2 linked regions of the Caenorhabditis elegans genome follow. The protein of the gene in region 1 purifies or fractionates together with the protein of each later gene. This does not show direct contact. Each region holds a gene or a part of one and is shown on either strand. Other genes may lie near its edges.

The links.
Region 2: the proteins of zig-1 (region 1) and gtnt-14 fractionate together in Caenorhabditis elegans (co-fractionation; one large-scale study listed by BioGRID). This does not show direct contact.

The regions. Positions count from the first base shown.
Region 1 is NC_003279.8:9,845,264-9,849,195, reverse strand, and holds the start of zig-1 (Zwei Ig domain protein zig-1), read right to left. Parts: upstream 1,791-3,932; 5' UTR 1,790-1,790; coding exon 1,622-1,789; intron 1,576-1,621; coding exon 1,461-1,575; intron 675-1,460; coding exon 606-674; intron 539-605; coding exon 453-538; intron 258-452; coding exon 173-257; intron 123-172; coding exon 1-122. UniProt on the Caenorhabditis elegans protein: Probably not involved in maintaining the position of ASI and ASH head neuron cell bodies and ventral nerve cord axons of PVQ, PVP, RMEV, AVK and HSN neurons.
Region 2 is NC_003283.11:10,503,852-10,507,783, forward strand, and holds the start of gtnt-14 (Glycosyltransferase family 92 protein C35A5.5), read left to right. Parts: upstream 1-2,001; 5' UTR 2,002-2,060; coding exon 2,061-2,458; intron 2,459-2,502; coding exon 2,503-2,605; intron 2,606-2,681; coding exon 2,682-3,466; intron 3,467-3,651; coding exon 3,652-3,796; intron 3,797-3,846; coding exon 3,847-3,932. Other genes in the region: C35A5.10 (uncharacterized protein), read left to right, coding at 385-514, 565-724, 771-1,036, 1,134-1,438.

The sequences.
Region 1 (3,932 bases):
ACTTGTTTTTCCATTTACAGTATACTCATTTACAGCTTCACATGAATATGTTCCAGCATCTGTGTAATTAGCATTTGTAACAATTACAGTACTTCCTTCCATTGAAACTGATTGACTGAGAGCTGAAATTTCATCAGGTGAGAAACAAAAAAAAGATTTGAATATGATTTACCAAGTGGGGCAGAATCTTTTGTCCATTTGACAACTGGTTTCGGGTATCCTGTTACTGGACAAGTCAATGTCACTGATTCTCCTTTCTGGAAAAAAGTTTTTGAAATGATTACTGTAATTGTTTTGTATTTTTAGAAAATATTTATTTTGTATTACTTTAAAACGATTTTTTTAATTCAAAAGAACCCAAATTTTTTGAGGTTTATTAAAGGTAGCTTCAGGAGCAAAATCTTTTTTCACGCTTCACCAAAAAGTGGGAAAACCACAAAAAATGTGCATACCTCAACAGTAGTTCCAGTGCTTTCCAAATGGAATTCATGTCCTTCGTGCTCAGTAAAATGTTCGTGAGAATGTACAACAGGTCTTGCTGCAATTTCATTATTTTCATGTTTTTTTTTCCTTGGGGTCACCTGCCCCATCATTCCCTCACTCACAATAAATGAAGACTTTATGGCTGATCTTTCCGTGTGGTGTGTCCAACTCACATTTGTACTCGCCGGCATCTGCAAAACAACAAAATGAAATAGTATTGGAGATGTAGAGACGTAGACACACATGTGTTGTTAGCAACAATTCCATTGTTACCTAGATCCAGATGTTCCGATTGAACATATTTTGGTGATTTTGATACAGAGTTGGAATAAAGCTACCAAAAAACGTTTGATGCTTACAAAGTCAAGCTTTAGAGTTTCCAAAATGATCAGAGTTCCTCAAATATTACGAGAAAAAAGGAAAATCCCAACATGAAAAATTGGTTTTTTTTATATTTTTGGTTGATCTCTCTGGTTAAATTTCCTTCAAAATGAGAACTGCAAGACCAATCAGCGTTTTGCTCCGCCCTCTTCTGAACTACACTTCATCTGATTGGTTCAAAAGTGGGCAGAGTTAGTCGCTGATTGGTCTTGCAGTTTTGATATGATTTTAGAGGAGAAAATTATACTTTTCTGGAGAATCTTATTTCCTGAAACTGTTTTCACTAAACTCGATTTAAAAAAATTTCAGATTTCAATTGGCAACATTTGAGATGTTCCCAGTTTCACAAAACATGTTAAAATTGAAATTAGACTTGAAAAAGACTTTTCCATAACGATTTTTCCATCATTTATTAAATAAAAGTAGGCTTTTAACAAAAAATTCTAAATTGACTTTTTAAAGTTCAAAGTGTTCCTATACAGCTACACTTTCTATAGGGACCTATTTAAAACATTATCCTTCTAATGGAATAGGTTTTATTTATAAAATTGAGCTCAAACAAATTTTTTTGTAAGCCTTAAAAAATGCCAACAAACCTTTCACTGATGGTGATCCAAAGGTGTATGTCGCATTTTTCTTGGTTGGATTCAACGCAGCTTCGAGCTTTTCATTATCTGAAGATCGAATGAAATGTGCAGTTTTTATGACAACCTGAAACAACACTGTAAAAGTTAATTTATCATAAAGTGATAAAAACCTGTGGATTGTCTGGAGCACACCAAATTGTGATTGGATCAGTTGCATGAAGTGGATGATTTTCCGAAGAACGAGCAGCAACCAAGACCAATGCAGATTTGGATCCTCTTCCACCGAGAGCTGTGACAGTGCTCACCACGAAAAATGTGATTAGTAGTAGGTTTTTCATACTAAAAATATACTTTTAGAAAACTAATGAGAAAAACATAAATTGAGGAGAAATTGAAGAGAATTTTCTGATGCTTTAGAATTCCAAATTGAACAAAGAAACGAAAGTGCACTTTTTGAATTTCAAAATCAGATTTAAAGAGCAAATACGACATGCAGTAACAATACAATTAAAACAAAGATTATTCATAGAAATTTATGATATACTAGACTAGTTTTGGAGTTATACTCACTTGAAAACTTTAATAAACTCGATTTAGTGTTAAAATTGTAAAATGCAATTAAACTGGAATAAAATTGAAATGGTAATTTTTTGATTTTATGGTAGTCGCTATATTCAACTATAAAATGCGCAATTTTCAATTGATTCGTATAGTCAGTTGTTTTTGTTTGTTTATCAGAAAAATTGTTCACTATAATTTTTTATTCCACAGTTTTGTAGTTGATTATTTTTTTCAAATTTGTAAAATGAATTGAGCATGAGCTATATTGTGTTAAAGTGGAGTAAATGTGTGAACTCTCAACTAATGAAATACGGTATTCCCTAGTAAGAATTAATAAACATAAGTTCCCATGCTTGACCAATTGGTAAAATCATGAATAAGAATGCTCATGAAGCTACTAGATTCTATCCATAAAAGAAATGAATAAGGATCTCGAAGAATAAGCAGTAACCGATGAATAGGGGGTTCTTCTATCTAATGCTCTCTTATTTCCTCTTTTTCATTCTTTTCAATTCAATTCAAATTAGGAAGATAGATAGGTAGTGAGTGTGCAATGGAATAGAAATTGGAAGAGAGAGGATATCGAGAGGATATCGAGAGAAAAACGAAGAAGAAGAACCTTCTTCTTTCGTATTCCCAGGCCCGTTGCCGCGGGGCGAAAATTGGTGGAAAATGTGAGAGTAAAAAAGAGAGTGTGGAGAGTGAGAGAGACGCAGAAATGAGAGAAGATCTCTTGAAGAGAGCAAAAGGAGCAGAAGAAGAAGAAGAGCAAGGAAAAGACGCGCTTGACTTCTGGGAGCTATTAGAGATGAGAGTTTAAGAGTAAAGAACGAGAGGAAAAGAGAGAGGAAGAGACTAAAGTGGTTCATCTCCCAAGAGACCTTCCAATTGTCGGATTATTCCTGTTGGAGACATTTTGATTTTTGACTCTTTCATGTGACAGTTCAAAATTTGAAAATGCCTTCTGATCAATGTTGGGATAATTGCCATCTTTTTTCGAACTAGTTGCACTCGATCCTAAAAATATCATTGTAGCTGTCAGATTATCCCTGGTCTTCCAAGAAAATAAATGTTTCATTTGAAAGAACATGCAAAGCTTTGATTAGAATATCATCAAATGTAAGCGGGAAAACTCAACTAATACCCTCTGAAATGTAGATCTGAAACCCGTAGAATTTTTCAACATCAGTTTTCTGTGGTCTTATGATAAGTTTAGAGATGATAGGAAGCTTTTTGGAATTTTGGTATTCTCGGGAAAATTTTTTAAAAAACAACATAAATCGTATAAATAATTTTCAATAACTTTTCAGACCGATATTTCAGACGGAAGGAGTTGAATTAGACCGTTCAATTTTTGAGATATATAAGTCTAGAAGACTATCCTATATATAAAAAACATGAAAAGAACGAAATTGGATTGAAATCGTCACAAAAGGCACCATTCAAACCTGCAGTAAATTGAAATCTGTTCATGAATAACCTCTCTTGAGAGAACCTTTTGCTCATTCACAATTCGACCTCTTTCTTTAACATCTCCATTTCTTGAATACTATTTCTGCTTGTCACATCACTTATGCAAACCAGAAAGAGCAACATGTCACATTGAAAAGTCCCAGGAAAAAACTCGACAAATTGGGGTAAGAAAAGGCAAAAAAAGAGTCAAAACGGAATGCTAAAAGCATTTCTTCTCAGAGCCTTGGATAAAGTAAAGGAAAAAGAGAAAAAAAAAGAGAAAGCTGTAGTGGTCCAACCCTGTTAGTTTCCGGTTAAAGTAATGGAAAGGAAATGGATAGAAAGTGGACGAGAAAATGAATGTCATGACAACCTTGTTTTTATTTTTCATTCTTTCAAATGGTTATACATATGTATTTATTCCTTGTTGTTCATCACTTGAAAGTGAATACAAACAACAACAGGAGC
Region 2 (3,932 bases), on another chromosome or scaffold:
GAGAAGGGTTTTATGTAATCAAGTTTCATTTTTGTGATATTGTACCTGAACTTCCAATTGAAAAAAAAAAGTTGGTTAAATGTGATGAAATCAAAAACCTTGAACAAATGGTAGCTTCATCTCTTTTTTCTTTCCTGAAACAACGCAACATTTCAATAAAGTCCTCCGCAGATCGTTTCTTCCGAAATCCCACGCTGATCTGGTCAGAAGTACCTCCAAAGTACAGTCCATTTCCTCTTCAAAGTGCTCATGCACACACCCATGCCACGGCAGACATGACGTAATTGACCGTCTTCGGAGCACACCCTGGAAGTATAAAAGACATGTGCTGATCCATTTTCAACACACTTCCCCATATTCTCACTTTCATTTCGGTGTTCCAAAATGGCAAAGATATTCTGTATGTTAGTTGTCCTTTTGGTATCATCGTCTTTTTGTTCTGCTAAAGATTTGAAACGGTCTAAACGGCAGATGCAAGTTTATTATATGTGCAATGGAGGTGTATCTCAATATCGTAAGTTATAGCGACTTGGAACTTTTAAATAATTTCGCATGGTCATTTAGCGTGTAACTCAAACAACAACTGTAATAACAACAATTGTAACTTCAACAATTATGGAAATCAAGTTATTCTTCCTTCTTCATTTTACAATCCAAACATGAATTGCAACTCAAACTGTAACAATCTCAACTGCAATCAATATTCAGGATCCTGGCTTAATGGGTTAGACTTTTCAGGTTTTAAATTAAAGCTATAATCTAATTTTTAGACAATATGTTGCCTATAACATGGGATCCAATGCTTACTCTCCATGTGCTAGCTCATGCTGTTCCAACAACAACAACAACTATAATCCATACATCAATAACAACTACAATGGAAACTATAATCCATATGGAACCAGCAATGGAGGTTATAATGCATATGGAACTATTCCTGTAAATGTAAATGTACCAAGCAGCAGCACAAATACAAATGTAAACCAGTACTTGCCGTACGGAGCACAACAGTTCACTGGAACTTACCAAAACGGACGTAAGGCATAACTAACAACTCTACTAATTTTGTTATGTTTTAACCTTATTCTTAATAAATATAAAACACTTTCAACAAATAGAGTTGTCGTTTCCAGAGTTCTTCTGTGGAGCCACAGAGCCATCGGGTGGAGTTTGTCGTAACAACGGGGTGTGCCCATCAGGACATAGTTGCGTAGCCGGAAATGTCTGTTGTCGTTGTCCAGTTGGATCAAGCGCCGGAAACTGTATACTTCAAAGTGACTGTTCTGCTGGATATGAATGCATGGGAACTGGATATTGTTGTCCTTCTCAAGTCTTATCAACAACTAAACTTGGACCATGTGTTGATGGAGCCTGTCCACTTCCTGGATACACTTGTGGCGTTGGAGACTTGTGCTATCCAGATAGTTACTTTTTGTAATTTATTGAATTTCTGTTATGTATTGAATTTTCCATTGTTCTTGTTCTCTGCTCAATTTGAAATCTCTTTGTATTATTTATTGAAGGTTAATGGCGTAATTAATAAACATTTTAATAACTTTTTATCTCTGGAAGTCAAAATCTGCAGTTGGCATCATTATGGTAATAAATTGCTAGTAAAATTCATAACTTATTTGATTAAAAACTACTAGGTGATCAATTTGATGAAATTCGATCATATTTTGAAGCATAGAACCAGGGACAGCGATGGCGAGGACATGGGCATGGGTTTTGCTATTGTTCTTTCAAAACCAATTCCACCCTATTGTCAATATTTTTGACATTGGCAAACGAACTTCTCTGAAAACTTTTTTTTCTTCGTGTTTTCAAACTTCAAGTAAACCTTCTGCAATGTCTAATACTGTCCTAACAAATGAAGATCGTTATTTTCTCTTGGATCGTAAATCCTATCGTTGAAATAGAATTTCCGCGACGAGTGAACCGCGTAACGTTTACCCAAATCTGAAGATGGCATCTACGGCATCCGTACAATAAAACGGTATCCATTATTTTTGAATTTCCAGATTCCAACCTCGTTCATCCATATTTTAATAAATTTAATCATGACGAAAATTAAACGACAAATTAATAATTTCGATTTTCGTCGAATCAAAATACTTTTGAAAAAATGGAATGTTGTAATTTACTTTGTACTAATACTTATATGTTTCTATTTTATTATTCCTATATATTTTCCGAACAACGATAAAATGAATTTGTGGTTATCATCAATTAAATATTATTTGACGTATCCCATTTATAATGAATCTTTAACAAAAACGGATGCATATATAATCAATACATATTACTATCCAAAATCGAGTTCATTAGGAGAAAATGCGATTGGAATGATTCTTTTAATGAATCGAAATACTCAAAGAGACATGACAAAGTATAGAATGAAATTGATTGCATCTAACTCTTCACATCAATCCGTGATTGTCACACCCAAGTTCTTGGAGTCAGCTGATTTTTTTGTCTTTTTTTTCATTTTTAATTTTTTAGAGAATCGTACTCCAGTTGCCCATACATTAACATGGTTGCAATGGTAAATACTTTGCCAAATTTGAACAAGTTGGAGATTTTTGATGGTGAAAGAAAAATGGAGGTTCGTGATTTAATATTGAAAAAAAAACGTCTATTCTTGGTTTATCAAAGTTAAATTATAGAAAACCCTGTTCCAGATTCCGTTCCAAATGGGTAAAACTACAGCTCCAGCATCTGTAATTATATGTATTTCTCCTCAATTTGTGGCAGAGCAGTGGCAATTATTTGTGGCACATGCACATGTTGCTCGGAAATTTGGAGGTCATCTTCACATGTACGTTACAAGTATCATAGATACATTCTTCGATTTGGTCCAAGAGTACGAAAGACTTGGTTATGTTACAATTGACTATTGGATGAGATTGAAATTGGCAAACTCATCGGTTGATTCTGTAGAGCCTAATCTTCATTCGGAACTAAGAAATCAAGCAGGAGCTCAATCGGATTGTCTTTATCAATACAAAGAAGCTGCTGCGTTTATCACTTTTTTCGATTTGGATGATATTTTCATTCCACGTGGGTATGATTCGTATTTTGACGAATTTTCTGCTTTGTATGAGCTTCATCCAAATATTCTAACATTTCAATATACAAAAAGAGAAACAATGGTCTACAATAAAGCAAAAATAGAAGATATAAATTTCGAAGAGTTGTTTGGTCACACTTGGTTTGTGAATGAAGAAGATTACGGAAAAGTTATGACAAAACCTGGAAATTTGAATTCAATGTGGATTCACGAATCATGGAATATTCCAACAAATCGGCATCATGTTAGTAAAAGCAATTACATAATTCATATGCAGAAACCAGTTGATCCAGATGGAACTGATCCAGTTTCCTATCGAATGAGCAATTTTGAAATGTTGGAGAGCATGCAACTGAATGCTTCTACTTTGATACCCATTCAGGATGACTTGGAAAGGTCTTTTTATTACAACTTTTTGAAACTTTTGAAACTTGAAACTTTTGAAGGAAATCTTCTTGAAGTATTCAATTTTTGATACAAAAAAATCCACAATGTTTTATATATTTATGTGTCATGAATACAATTTTAATCAACTCACAAACGAATCGATTCTATTCTTTCTTACTAAAAAAGTTTTTCAGAGTACTCAAATCATCGAATATTTCTATGACCGCTGAAGATCTACCAAATAAAACATACTACTTCCCAATTATTTACCGATGTTATTATGAAAAATTTTACAAAAAACCAAAGAAAGACTCATGTCCAAATGGAGAGGGATGCTTGGTGAGTTACCAAATTTGTTATAATATTAAAAAGTATTCAATTAATTTCAGATTCCACAACGAACCGGTACAAATTGTATTCACTCAGACGCTGATTTCAAATCAGGTCCAGAAATGTGGCCAATTACATATCATTA